Linked DNA regions of Styela clava. The protein of the gene in region 1 interacts with the protein of each later gene in a pairwise test. Links are inferred from orthologs where the notes say so. Each region holds a gene or a part of one and is shown on either strand. Other genes may lie near its edges.

Evidence for each region.
Region 2: the proteins of methylenetetrahydrofolate reductase (NADPH)-like (region 1) and proteasome subunit beta type-1-like interact in a two-hybrid assay, tested with the Caenorhabditis elegans proteins (3 studies listed by BioGRID). The link is inferred for Styela clava from reciprocal best matches to the Caenorhabditis elegans genes mthf-1 and pbs-6.

Annotation. Positions count from the first base shown.
Region 1 is NC_135253.1:4,399,539-4,407,965, forward strand, and holds the start of methylenetetrahydrofolate reductase (NADPH)-like, read left to right. Parts: upstream 1-4,822; 5' UTR 4,823-4,927; coding exon 4,928-5,169; intron 5,170-5,582; coding exon 5,583-5,821; intron 5,822-6,175; coding exon 6,176-6,286; intron 6,287-6,706; coding exon 6,707-6,900; intron 6,901-7,739; coding exon 7,740-7,846; intron 7,847-8,080; coding exon 8,081-8,202; intron 8,203-8,375; coding exon 8,376-8,427. Other genes in the region: cell adhesion molecule 3-like, read left to right, coding at 229-353.
Region 2 is NC_135255.1:8,348,191-8,354,919, reverse strand, and holds proteasome subunit beta type-1-like, read right to left. Parts: upstream 1,756-6,729; 5' UTR 1,740-1,755; coding exon 1,226-1,739; intron 1,142-1,225; coding exon 960-1,141; 3' UTR 806-959; downstream 1-805. Other genes in the region: large ribosomal subunit protein uL14m-like, read left to right, coding at 4,321-4,367, 4,518-5,028. UniProt on the Caenorhabditis elegans protein: Non-catalytic component of the proteasome, a multicatalytic proteinase complex which is characterized by its ability to cleave peptides with Arg, Phe, Tyr, Leu, and Glu adjacent to the leaving group at neutral or slightly basic pH.

The DNA.
Region 1 (8,427 bases):
GAAGTGGGTCCTTTAATTTTGAGTGGACTGAGGTTTCCACTTGTAATTGAGAATTTGAGAATAAAATGCTGGCTTTTATTTTAATACCATTGCAAAACAGGCCATCTTACCAGTCTAATCCTAGCTAATACAGAAAGTGCTATTTTAATTTGAAATATTTACATAATGCGATATTTAACATGAGACTAATGGAAATGATGTCATTTTATCTTTTATACCCTATTATAGGAACTTACCATACAAATGAAATGAAAAATCATGACACAGAAGAAAATAGAAATGATGATGAACATCCCATGGTAGATGATGAAGAAGATTATGGAGGAAAAAAGAGGACTGAATACTTTATGTGATCAAATGTTTCGTTTTTTTATGTTTCATCAACTAATGCAACAACACATCCTGTCATATTTGAATTACCGTATATCCTCGCGTATAAGCTGAGTTCAAAACTAAAAAAGCCAAACTATGAGGTCGGCTGTTATCAAAATTTGGTTTATAGGCGCGGCGCATACCTCTGATCACATTCAAATGAAATGACATTTTATTAATTAATACCGCAAACTTTAAACTGAACGATATTATCATTAACAACGCCAGGCAAACAATAAAAACCGCGATAGATTCTAAATTATATTTGAGGAGCTATTTTCCGATTATGCTCGGTCACTATCGCAACTGAGGATAAAAGCGATTAATTAGACTGGCAAATTAGACTGGCCGCTTTGAGGGGGTCTGCTTGTATGAGAGATCGGCTTATATGCGGGGATATATGGTATTAAAATGGAGACCATCCTGTCTTCTTACACACTTCTGAATTTAAATATTTTCGCCTGATAATTTAAAAAGCATAGTTGTTATTTTCTTGGGTTTGCATCACTTATGATTAGTTGTAAATGTCTGAGCATATATGTTTAAAATATGTCTTTGTCATATTAAAGAAAGTTGCTGTGAAATTTCCATTATTTTCTAGAAAAATGTCATAATTTGGAGTTGTCATTTTAAAATGGAATTTAAATCAAATTCCTTATGCAAGTTTTGTCGGCTATGTGTGCTTTTATTAACTGCATGGCCATTTTTTTTTTTTGAATGCTTGCTTACGATTGCTTTTCACTTATGAAATGATGCTTTTAACACTATCATTGTTTGTACACACATGTGGGTCTTTGTAAAATTTTCTCCCCAGATAGTCTTCCTACTAAATCTGCTCAGCAGTTCAAATCGAAATCAAGTTACTAAGACATTGTATCAAGTAGCATTTTGTTGACTTGAAAATTCATAAACAACTTTTTATGATTACTTTTGAATTATAAACTATCATGAACATCATTTCATTGCTGTTTTGTGTAGCAAATGACAACAATTTAATAATTTTCACCCTATTCTTTTACTTCTAATGCACAATGCTTTGCTTTCAATTTATTTTTTCAATTATTAAATCACTATTCAATTGATTTCATCTGTAATGGTATGTAGTACATCAATCGATTTCATATAAACTTTTTCTATTTCATTCACATTTCTGTAATCTTTTAATTAATAAACACAATTGAACTATTTTATAAAGATAAGATTAAGTTAATTATACGTTAATGTATTCAATTTAACATGCATGTTAATAGGTTACCAAGAGAGAATTATAATACTGCAGGATCCCATACAAATCATGCTATTTCAAATAGGAATTTATATCTTCAAATATCATTTTGGACATTTTTATCAAATTTTTAAAATCAGATTATTGATTCTTGTCATCCGATAAATAAGTATATGTGTGATTAAGGACAGTTGATAGATTCACATTTAAACTGTATATACTTCTATTAACTATTTATTGTTCAAAGTTATTTTCTAATTTTTAAACTTGTGTGTCGCGGGCCAAATCTTTCAAGTTTCTATATGATTTTTGAACTAAAAATGTTACAAGCTCTTTAGAATGAGCTGAAGTGGTGCTGTAATTTAGTTTTTTGCTTTTTTTATTTACTTATATTTGAGCTTTTAGTTATAAATATACAATGGAAGGTAATTTTGTATCTTAAGCTTTAGATTTTGAGGTTTGAAATAGAATAAACCCCTGCTTGGCTGGCAAGCGCCTAAACTTGAAAAAAAAATAAGGTCACAAACCATTGAAACTCCAAATTCAATGTTTAAAAGTTTAAGCCATCTTTTTGAAAAACTTCTTGTTGAATTAGTCCTAAAAAATGCTTTCTATATTTTAGTGGATAGTGCTTTTTACTTTTTAGTTGTTCCTTTTATAGTAGAAGTGCTTTTTCTCCTTCGTCATGATATCATTTTGGTACGTCATCATCTGGTATCTGGTGTGAAATAAAAGGTTTTGCTAGATACCTATGTGCGTGTTTTTGTACATTTTTGAGTTATTTGTTATCCTAGATTTGTTAAAAAATGTCCCATACATTCCCCGACAAGATTTCAATGCACTAAAAAGGTAAGGTTCGTCTTTTTGATTAGATCCCTGGGTCTCGCTGCTCGATAACCAGCTTTGGTTTCTCGCGGCTTCTCTCCTAGTATTTTGTGTAAAACTTAACTTTCTTACTGGTTGTAAAAAATGAACTTGACTTGACTGTGGAAGAACCATTTACGACGTCGGAATTTGCTAAACATGTAAGAAATGTCCTCATTGTTCGAGTTTTTTTACATGCTGGTTTCGAACTTGAGATGTTTTCAAGTACAACAACCATCAACGTGTTTTATTATAAACCTGTATTCGGCTGCATTGTAATCCGCTATTACATGAGAATAATGCTCTTGAATTAGGTGCATGTCTGGTGAGTCAATACCAGATTGTAATAATAACCAAGTATTATCAACGATAAATTTTTTTTTACCTGTGCTGAAAATTAAAAAAAAAAAAACATAAGTAATGAAATGAATATAACCAGTGGTGGGATTTAGCCGGTTCGCACGGGTTCTATAGAACCGTCTCACGGAATTTTATGAGATCAGCGAACCGGCTAGCATTACTGGTTACTGTCAATGTTCTGTTTGTGTCAGAACCGGCTGAAAAATATGACTTTTGTGAAGGAACCGGCTGACAAAAAAATTTGAATCCCACCACTGATTATAACCCTCGTGATGTTCTGCGTCTCCTACTAATATGCACGGTGATACTGTTAAGTTTATCAAGTCTCCTTGTGGTTTTTTTCAACGTCCGGATTCCGATTTGTTTGCTGCCTAATGTACACGGGTTTAAAAATGTATTTATTCGTATCGTACAAATGAACAGTTCAAAGTTGTATCCAAGTAATACTGTGCTCGAGTCGATTTCTTATTGATAACTTTATCCCCATTTCGTTTTTCTTTGTCTGAATTGATGGTCATTTTATAAAAAAAAAATACGGTTCTTCTCAGCTTAGTCTTCAGCCTACCCACTTTCTGTTGTTGCCTGATTTTGACTCCCAGCAACAAACAGAAAGAAATCAGAATTCACAAGCACATAATCGATGAATCGTTACCAAATTTTGTGCGTTTATTGTTTTATGTATGTGTTTTTCGGCCGAATCAAAACAAACTTAGCCTACTTAATACTAACTTGCTCGTCATAATTCTACAATATCTTATGTATATCGCTTTTCCTCCCTGTTTAAGTTGAATACTTATTAAGCGCGACAGGAAATCTTAATTGTTCTGTCAAAACAATATGTTTTGTCCTCGGTCTATGAGCCTGTGACTCGGATGACTCACAACAGCTAATAGTTAGAGAGAGGGAGAAAATATGCAACTCAATTCGGTATAGACTGGAGGGAGCGATACGACCAGGTCATCAAAGTCAGCTCCCCCAAAAATCAACAATGAGATTCACAGTTAATGTATATAAACCATGCATCATCTGATCCGTTTGACACACAAAATATTTAGTTTCAATATATACGTTGACAATAAGACACAAATTCAAAGATTCTGGGCGTTGATTCTTGAGAAAGAATAGTATATATATACAATATACGCGAATTGTTGAATTCGGGCGTTGAAGCTTGAAAAATAAAATACAAGTGCGTGACCTCAGGCTTTAAACTTGAAGAGTTGAAGTTGAGTTCTGGTCCAGATGCCTATCTTTGTGTCAAAATTCTGTTAATTGACTAATGAACTATCGCCGAACGCCTAAATAGCTCAGTAGTAGGAAAGCTTTAGTTTGCTTTCAACTTGCCTGACAACACCGAGTTTCTGAAAAGATCAGCGGACAAGCAAAACGCAACAAAATCTAAATAAAATAAATATTATGGATAAGAATGAGAAATGGGAATTCTAACAACAAATCGATACATGCGTATGTACAATTCGTGTCCAATAAATTTAAATTAAATAATTAATAACACTAACTTGAAATTGAAATCAAAAAAGCATGATAATCTTCTAGCGACTTTTGGTAAGTATAACAACAACAACAATCATCCCACCTTCAGCATCAACAAAAACATTTAGTGTCCAATAATGATATATAGGTGCAGCGTTGTTATTGGGTCACTCGACAAATAACAAAAACTGTAAATGAAAGTAATTTTTCCACGTTTTTTTCTTTTTGAGTGCCAGTCGTCATGGAATGTTATACAGAAATTGCGCATTTTCGGGAAAATACTACACCGAATTTTAATATGATAATATTTACGATGATGTATATGTGTACAACAATAAAAACTGTTTGAGCGCGTTTGTGATAAGAGTCAAATTGAAAGCAATGATATTCACCAATTGACGCGATATATCGTTTCAAGAACTCAACTCTCGCCTTCAAATTTAAAAAACAGCTGATGCTATGCATGATCAATCAAGCGTTATGTTATGTTTGGTATAAAAACGAAAAATTTCATCGATCGTCCCCATTTGCCTGTAACCGTCTGTGCGTTCGTGTGAGGTTCTGGAGGACTCTCTCGATGTATGTGTAATAAGTTAATACAGAAAGTAAACAAAAATGGTGTCTGGGACAGAAAAAGCAGATGCTGTTGAAAGAGATGAAGTGCACGGGGCAACAAATGGTTTTGCCTCCGCAACAGATGGATTGTGCAAAACGAATGACTCGTTGTGCAATGGCGTTTCTCCTTTCGTTTCTCTAAAAAACAAAATAAACAATCGTGTGCAATCAAAAGATCCATGGTTTTCACTGGAATTTTTTCCTCCACGAACAGAAAAGGGGGCTGCAAATCTTATTGGAAGGTATGCAATTAGGTTTAAGAATACTTATAAAATAAGTTTAGTTAACTCAAAGTGGTCAATATGGTTAGATATCTCATGCCCAAACTGTACAAATAAACGTATAAAAAACCGCAGGTTGCAACATGTTTAGCTATTCATAACTTATAAGTTATTCTAACTTTAGTATATTTTAAAATTAACCACTAGTATGAATTATTAAGAAATGACTGGTCTAGTGTTTTAGTATTTTTCACTTTCTCAAGGTAATTGAGAATGAATTTTACCAAAGTTGGGAATAATTTAGGAATCAAAGTAAAAAGTAGCTTAAGTAGTATAATGGAAATTGAGCTGCAAAACATATCTTTTTTTGCTTCAATTGCCAGTATATGAATGAATTTTTTTGCAAACATGAAATTGTGTCATCTTTTCATCAGGTTGGATCGTATGAGGGACGGAAATCCTTTATTTATTGACATAACTTGGCATCCTGCTGGCGACCCCGGTGGTGATAAAATAACATCCTCAACCAAAATTGCAGGGACAATTCTAAATTATTGTGGCATTGATACAATGCTACATATGACATGTTGCAATCAAACTAGAGAAACAATCATGAAAAATCTAGAAAAAACTAAATCATTGGGAATCAGAAGCATACTAGCCTTGAGAGGAGGTAGGAAAGAATATCACTTTTTATTATTGAAAACTCTATATTGAAACTAAACATTAAACTAAATATTTAAAAAAGTACACTAATTAATTAATTAAATATTTAATTGTTACTATTTCAGATTTCTATTTCAACAAATATAGGGTTCTCTGTTCTGTTTGATTGTGAAGTGTTCCATTGTAATATTGGCGCCTTTTCACTTGCTTTATTGATATCTTCATATATTGGAGTCATATTGGTATCGTGAATAAAAAATGGCATATATGATAGTATTTGTAAAGATACTTCTGAATTTTGTTCAAGTTGATGGGGTGTACTCATAAACAAAAGAATTTTTTTTAAATAATTTGATTTTAGATCCAACAGGCGACGAATGGGAAATGAATGAAAATGGGTTGAATTATAGTTCTGATTTAGTGGAACTTATCCGTCAAGAATATGAAGATTATTTCAGCATCTGTGTTGCAGGTAAGCGAAAATTGGAATTGAAAAATAAGTTCGCAGAACGTATTATATAGATTTTACCAAAGAGTTTATCTTCCGTAAGAGTTAATAGGTATATGAACTTACATGAAAATTTCCTAATATTACACTTTTTTTAATAGTTTATTGCATTATTAGTACTAAACCTATTTTACAGACAATAAACTTTTTTATTGATAATGATAAGCAAACTAGTGTATATTATTTATTTTGTTGAACGAAAGCACCAAAGGAAACTTGAACTTTTAACCCTTTGATGTTGTATTTTGAGAATAACATTGATCATTTTATTATATAATAACATTTTGTACATAATTGTGAAATAAAGTACGAAATATTGATTTTGGCTCAGAAGTAAACTTGTCTTGTGGCTTCCATTATCAAACAAGTATATTTGTCATTCAGGTTATCCTAAAGGTCATCCGGATTGTTCATCATATAAAGACGATTTAGTCAATCTCAAGAAAAAAGTAGATGCTGGTGCAGATTTTATTATAACTCAGTTATTTTTCCAAGCTGAGGAATTCTTAAAATTTCAGTCAGATTGCAGAAAAATTGGAATTCAATGTCCTATTATCCCTGGAATTTTTCCGATTCAGGTACCGCTAATTACGTTAAAGTTGAGTAGCATAGTTTACTCAGCACACACAGTGTGTTTGTTGAAAGATAAACAAATATTTGATATTATGCAACTTTGTTGTTTAACCACACAATTCTCCATGAATTTGAATGACATCATTTTTGTCAAGTATAATTCCTTTTTTGATTATAATATTTATCGATTATGTTTTTATTAAATATGTAGGTATATATGTAAATTTAAATAATGCTAGTCATGAAATATCTAATTTTTCCAAAACGAAATTTAAAAATTGGGAGTTTCTTTGTTTGTTTCTAGTTCAAACTTTTTTCAATTGTTTATTTGTAATTGAGTTTTGGATGACACTTGTCCAGATTATAATTGAACAACTAATCTATCAAAAAGCTAAAAAATCACTCCTATTTATGTTTCGCTGATTGATTAATTTTTGTCTGTTGGATATTGTTTTGGAACTTTAATTGATAAGGGAATGCACAACAGAAAGAGTTGCATCATTTTTTCACTAATTACACGTCATATAATGATTTCCGTGAATATGGTAATTTTGCTAAATTGCAAATCCAGCTGGTGATGCCATTATTGACAGGTTTAAAGACATTTAATTTAAATAAAGTGAATAATTTCAAAATGTGTATTATGTAAAGTAATTTTGAAAGGAATATTTTTTATGAAAACACATTATCAATTCACTTAGAAAAGTACTGGAAACAAATGTTAATCTTATCTTGGAATTTGTCGCCTCAGTAAAATGTACTTCTTAGTGCAAATGAATATGATTCATTTGCACTATCTGGCACAATATTTAACACTTTATGTATCGTTTTTGTTGTGCATCAGACGAACAGATCTCTTGTTCAACTGACAAAATTATCGAAACTTGAAGTCCCTGAGGATGTGCAGAAAATTATTGAACCAATAAAAGATAATGATGCAGCTATTCGAAAGTAAGTTTATTGGGACAATTCGAAGCAAAAGCTTATGGAGCTTTCAAGAAAGTGATGGATTTTGTCACGAGAACAGTGTTGTTTTATTTTCAGAGAAATTGATTATTTTGAGTCATTTTTGTTTTGTCATTTACATTGTCTAGTTGTTTTAGAGATTTTCTCAAAGTATAATATAGACTGTTTGTCATTTTTGTAATGAATCAAATAAATAACAAAATTTCATTGGTTTTGTAGCTTCGGGATTGATTATGCTACTGACATGTGTCGTGAACTTTTGAACTCTGGAGAAGTTTTGGGTTTTCATATGTATACTCTCAACCTGGAAACTGCAACAATTAGCATTCTGGAAAATTTAGGTAAATTCTTAGATTTATTGTTTAAAATGGATGTGCAAGGCTGTGTACTATTTTTTTGTAATATAAACAATGTGAATTTAATTTTGTCATGTCATGATTTTCTTTCTTATCCAGTCCCAATCAAAATAACAATTAACAGCCCACTTTATTTTTCTTGCTTTTATATAATGCAGGGTTGTGGCAACAAAAGATATCTAGGCCATTACCTTGGAAAATATCTGGCAA
Region 2 (6,729 bases), on another chromosome or scaffold:
ATGTTAACACAGGAAGTCTGTTTATTCTGGACTCCGGGGCTCGACACCATGAACTGAAATAAAACACAAGAAACTTTCAATCTATTACTCATCCAACAGGGCAGGAATAATTTCACACAGAGGATACACCTACCGAAGGGGGGTCTGCTTATTTTTGGGCTCCATATAAAACCATAACTATAGCATTGATAGCAGTATAAACTGAAACAAAGCACAAGAATTTTGTTGTATTTTTCATCCATGAAACTTGGATATTACTATATGCAGAGGTCACCTACTTGCATGATAGTCAGGGGATAGATTCTCCAGAGAGATATTAATTGGGTGTAGCTGGCGAGGTGTGAAAAATGATCCTGCAGACATCAGACCAGGTGAAATTCTGTTGTGGGTAAATAGTATTCTTAATTCCCCAAGCAGGCGCTATTTGACATATTTTGGCTCTAAATGTACACGGACGGGCAGTCAAGACTAACCATTGAAATGCATGGAACTGCGCATATTAAACAAAATGCATGCAACACCAAACATTCCTTTGAAACTTCTCTAATGTAATACCCATCATTCATACACTTTTATATTCAAGAATGTAATTTAGTAATAAAAGGTGTGAAAAATGATCCTACAGACCAGGTGAAATTCTGTTGTGGGCTCGGCAAATAGTATTCTTAATTCCCCAAGCAGGCGCTATTTGACATATTTTGGCTCTAAATGTACACGGACGGGCAGTCAAGACTACCATTGAAATGCATGCAACACCAAACATTCCTTTGAAACTTCTCTAATGTAATACCCATCATTCATACACTTTTATATTCAAGAATGTAATTTAGTAATAAAATGCAAAGCATTTTTTCAAACAAGCTTCGAAATGCTCACATTTACTGACAAATGAACTTTTTTGAGCATCTTGCACTGTTAGATAGTGCTAATAATGTCACAGAAAGTCCTGGTAGAAAAACTCAGTCTCTTCTAAGAGGGAATCGTTCTGTCTTCACACCATTGGCATCAATAATATGGATAAGAACACTATCTCCAGTCGTTATATCTCGTTCAGCAGCAGATATGAAAGCATCCTTTACTAGCTGTAAACCTTTCTGTTTCGTAAGAGGTATTTTCGGAACATTTTCCATATTCTTGAAACCTAAAAAAGCATATTTAATCATGTCATTTTTTAACTCGTTAAAAAATCATTGTTATATTATATCCATGTTACTTTACAACATACCTATCTGATTGTCCAGAAGAGGTTGCAACAATTCAGCAGCTGAACCTTCTGCCCTATATGCTTCACGTTCATAACATCCAACCGGATCGTATGAATACACACAACCTTTGCCTTCATCATCTATGCCAGCCAACAGGTTGTAAACATAGTAAGGAAAGAATCGCTTGTAATAAAGGATGGTTGATAGCATGGCGGCTATTGCACTGACACTTGGCTTCTTGCCGTGCTCATGCTCATATAATTTTATTCTATTTTGTATGACCTTTTTTAGGGTCAGACTATCTCCATGAAAACCTGCAGCTCCCAGCACAACTTTGGGGGTTAGCTGTAAAGTTTTTGGTTCTTCCCGGCTGTGTATAGAGAAACCCTGACTCAGCCTGGTATCTGCTGCAATTATGGCAAAATCATCTCCAGAAATCGCCAATGTATTACCACCGTTTGAAGCATATGGGGAAAAATGTTGCTGCTTTGGTGCATTGATTCCATAGGTTTGAAGTTTTCCAATACTATCCATTTTTTTATTTTTGACCTGTATCGTGCATAATTAATCATAAAATAATAATAAGTGAGTATTTAATATAGAATAATTTTAATATATAAGCACCACAGCTAACGAACAATGAGAAATTCGTAACACCACATTTTTTACTTTCAATAGTTGACACGGAAAAGTAGGGAATTAACTAAAAATTCTTCAAAGGCAAAATATGAAATTATTTACATCCTATCCATATTTGCAATAGGATTTACATATTTATCCAGAGGGAGAGGAAGTTGACTACAATGTCACAATCGATATGGGATTAGTCCGCCATTTATTTGTTTTTAGACATATGGACTCAATGATGGAGAATTACAACAGTCCTCTTCCACATACTGACATAGTTGGGCGGAATTCAAGCTTACAAACCCAAGCACACTAATCAGAAGTGCGATGGCAAGGGTACCGCTACCGGTACCGTATTCCTAATGATGAGCGTGATTCGCCATACGGTACCGGTACTATAATTGACATTATCAGACTATGGGTGGTAATAAACCTCACTGCCTATAAAATAGATTACCTGAATACCAAAGTTGCTTATTTCAATACCGGTAGATTCTGAAATCTGGAAAATGTGAAACTGATTTAAAAATTACAGATCTAGACTATCTAAGATTTTAACGTAGATTTTAAAATCTTAAATGTTCTTCACAGTAATATGCTTATACAGCTAACTTATAAGTATAGAGTCAGCAGCGCAACCTAACCGTAATTTGAGCTACAACGTAGAGTTTTAAACACGAAAGTCGCTCAGCCTCCGATCGAATCGAAAATTACAACAGAACGTATTATTTAGTAATGACGCAGCTAAAATAAATTGCCGTATCATCAAACGGATGGCTGAATTCGTCATGCCGTGCCAGATTTTCACGTTGAAATTTATGTTGTACTCAGGGAGAATACAACACTGATTGTTCTTGTTGACTTATACTGAAATTGGGTGGATTAGCCAGGTGAAAATTTTCATAAGTACCTTGACTAGCAACATAAACTAACACATCACTGCGGTACCGGTACCTTCATTTTATGTTTTGCCAGTGCTGGAGTAATTAAATTGCCGAGAATAAAGTTCCGAAATATATTTTATTGTATTGAGTGTGCAAAATGCAAATGGTACGATACCGATACTTGCTGACTTCTGTACTTGACAAATTTATCTTACAATATTGTTGGGTGCCTGTATAGGGGCATATTTCTCATGCTGCCTTTATCATTGTGATCAGTTGAAACAGGTCTAATTTCAGAATTGATAAAACTTTTTATTTTTTTACTGGACTGCCGCCTTCATTGTCTGTCACAGTTGTTTTTCATGGTCTTTTATTAACGTTTGGTAACCACCTAATACTCAGACATCATCATGTTTTTGAATGCAATAACATAGACTACTATGTTTATCTTTTTTCTCTTTTTATTTCGTTATTATGTCTTAGTGATTGTATGTGTGTGTGCCTTGTGCGTGCGTGTATTCATTAATTTAACACATTTTAGGTGAGGAACATTGTATCACTTCTTTTGACAGCCCCTTACTCACAATTTTAAATCTGTATGTCTCAAACAGTACATGAGGTTTTGGGGTCTAGTATAGTTTAGTACCGCAAGTACTTCCAGTAGGCGTAGCATAACGAATTTTGCATATGTTATTACTAACCCCTCACCTGACTAGGCCATCCAAAAATTGAGTGGAAGTGGTGACTCCTCTTCGGCCCATGGGCCGGGGCCACGGCCCATCAAATTGGGCCTAGGCCCATCAGGCTATGGGCCGTGGCCCATCAAGTTGTGTAAAGGAACTATTCACTTGGCTAACACAGACAGTCCCCAAACTCATAATAGAACTATAATGTAAAAAATCTGAACAAAATTTTGCCCTAACCCTAACCTGGTACACATACTACAGGAGTTTATTTTTTGGTTCGAATATTGACAATTTTGTAGAAATTGAAAATTTTGGTAAGATAATTGAATTTTTCCTGACGGGGCCACGGCCCATAGCTTGATGGGCCACGGCCCATGTGGCCCAATTAGATGGGCCGTGGCCCCGGCCCATGGGGCGTAGTGGAGTCACCACTCCTGTAGCAAAAATTACGTCACCTTCACGTCATCGTGCTTGCCAAAGTATCATTACGATCGCCCGATATGTCATCTGCGCAGCCGATAACAAACTCGCTAGCGCCGGTGATCTTTCTGCGCGTTTTGGACGATCATCCGCTTACTTTGGTGGGCCTTATTATGTAACTGTGATGTCGCAATGGCATAATTTTTCGGTGACATAGTCATGTGAGGGTTAGAAATGACATATGCAAAAATTGTTAAGCCAGGCCAATTAGAAGGGTATGTGGTACTAAACTATACCAGACCCCAAGTTTTGTTTGCTCACCTGATTCTGTGATCAGTTTTGATTATTTCTTAGCTCAGTGGTTGGCTCATCGTGACCTCTGCTAACCCTCGGTTTCTATCCTGATTTCTCATACCAACTTATTTCATTGGTAGGTTTAAACAAGCATAATACTATTGGATGTCTTCAGATACAAGTTAAAATCCTGTGGATTAAAAGATGCAAAGCATTCTTAGATACTTCAACCCTTCAATTAATGCAGTGAGGTAAAATGAATTTTTATTATGTTAAAATTCAAAATCACAGGAAAAAAATGATTATTGGTGGTTATTTTATCTGTCAAGGCAATAGATTATTTTTTGGCTCACCTCTTTATTTTCTATGAAATATTTTTATCATGTAAAAAATTTCAACAGGGGATTCTACACATGCTGCAATGTAAAGGCACCAAATGCTGCACATTATGACAATCAAACATTTTATGAAAATGTGAATTTCGGAGAAAAACATCACCCAGGCAATGTTAGAGACAGACATCGGCAAACGAAGGCTATGCAGAGGAAAGCTTTTCAAAAACTTACCCGGGTAAGGGTAACTGACAATAGTGCACTTGCATTGCAGAGCTATTATCGTTATCCCCGAGTGATACAAGTCTACCATAAAACTGGATATGGAAGGGTGGGTGACACTGTACTTTTAGCAATAGGAGGACTGATGAAAAGAGCACTTATTATTGGTCAAAAGAGATCAATGGGCCCCATGAAAGCCAGAATGGATTCTAATAATGTAATTTTAATAAATGATGATGGTACTCCAGATGGCACAAGAATTACAGTCCCAGTGCCATCTTTTCTTAGAGGAATTCAATCTGCAAAGCAGAGAGTACAAATTTCTAAAGTCATTGCAATTGCTGGGAGATTTGTATGAAATACCTTCATGTTAACTGCTTCAACTTTCTTTCCTCAGTTATGCATGTTAATCCAACAATGCGATGGAAGCTAAAACTGGAGGTTTGTTCAGCTTTCCATCTATTGGTTAGATTGTCTAACCTAGTTATATGCTTCTGCTAAATATGAGACCATTGTGGAGATTGGTATATTGCAATTGTGCGAGTATCTCATAAATTTCTTCGTATGCATTGTATTATAAAAGTATTGACACCTTTTATGTGAAATATGATTGTTGACAAATCCACAATGTTGGATTAGTATTGTTGTGCTTGTTTGGGTTGAACATTTGTGGAGGTTGTACCATGAACTTTTGTATACTAACAGTAACAAGTCAAGCGCTAGTGCAAAATCAGGAAAGTTCATCCTTATTTTGCTTCATATGATTGTGTAAATATTGCCATTTGCTGAACCATACCTACCAACTATTTTCAAATGATGCCTAGTACCAACGAGAACCAGGACCCTAAAACAGGATTTCGATTGTTTTTTTTTACAAACGCAATGTAGTGAATGCAATATTGCATAAATGCTTATTGCCATTGAGATATTGCAATGTCTTAGTTGTACATTACATTTAACAAATATTCATGTAAACCATTCAACGTCTTGGAATACATAAAAATTGAATATAAGTATAATAAATTTATTTCGACTCCATAATCAGCACAACAATACATTTGACAGATAAAAACAAATAAATAAAAACTGATTATGAAATCAGGGGAGCAAACGAAACCTTAGATAAGGTTTATAACTTACAAAATATAAGATGGAAGGTTTTGCCAAGAAGAAGTGGTACGTGTTTACTCGCCTCAAATTATTAAGTTATTTCACACACGCTCACATGCACCCACCAGCCACACACACACACAACCACTGAGAAGTTATTTAAGTAAGAATAAAACGCGATAAATTTAGGGTATACTATACAGTAAACAAAAAAAAATACTAGAAAAGAAAAAAATTATTTGCCACACCATATTGATAGTTTTGTAATGGTTGCCATTGCCAAATTGATCGATCTTCTTATCGTTAATTAAAATATAAAAGGAAGATTCCACTGAAAACATGTTGCCAATCCTACTGAAAACATATTGCCATACTTACACTTCCATTTTGAATTTATATATTAAAAACCTTTTCTTGTAATTGAAAGCGCCAATATATTTGTGGTCATCACTATTTTTATCAGAATAAGTATTAAAATATAGTCTTCAGCTAGCTAATTGACTTTTATATTTATTCCCACATTTTCCGGATACCCATCACTAGGGTTGTCCATATCCGAATACTAAACTATTCCAGAATAACACTAAAAAAACATTTCGAATATCAATAAACTAAATTAACAGAACCAAAACAATACTGCACCAGTGTTTGAATAACTTTATTCCCAACTAGGGCTGGGCAAAATATTCGAATAGCGAATCGAATATTAGAATATTCCGATGGCATTTTACTATTCGAATATCCGGTACCGCGTGATCTGCGCCGCTTTGCTTGGGCACGGAATTCGCGCGCCTCTAAATTAATCCGGAGTTGCGCGAGAATTCACCCACGGTGCTCGTTAACAAAAGCGACAAATTTGGGAAGTCGTTTTCTTTGCGTTATGGTGTTATTTACTTTCTCCTTGCGCTCAACGTATCGTTGCAGTTCTCTATTTTGCAAAAAAAAAACG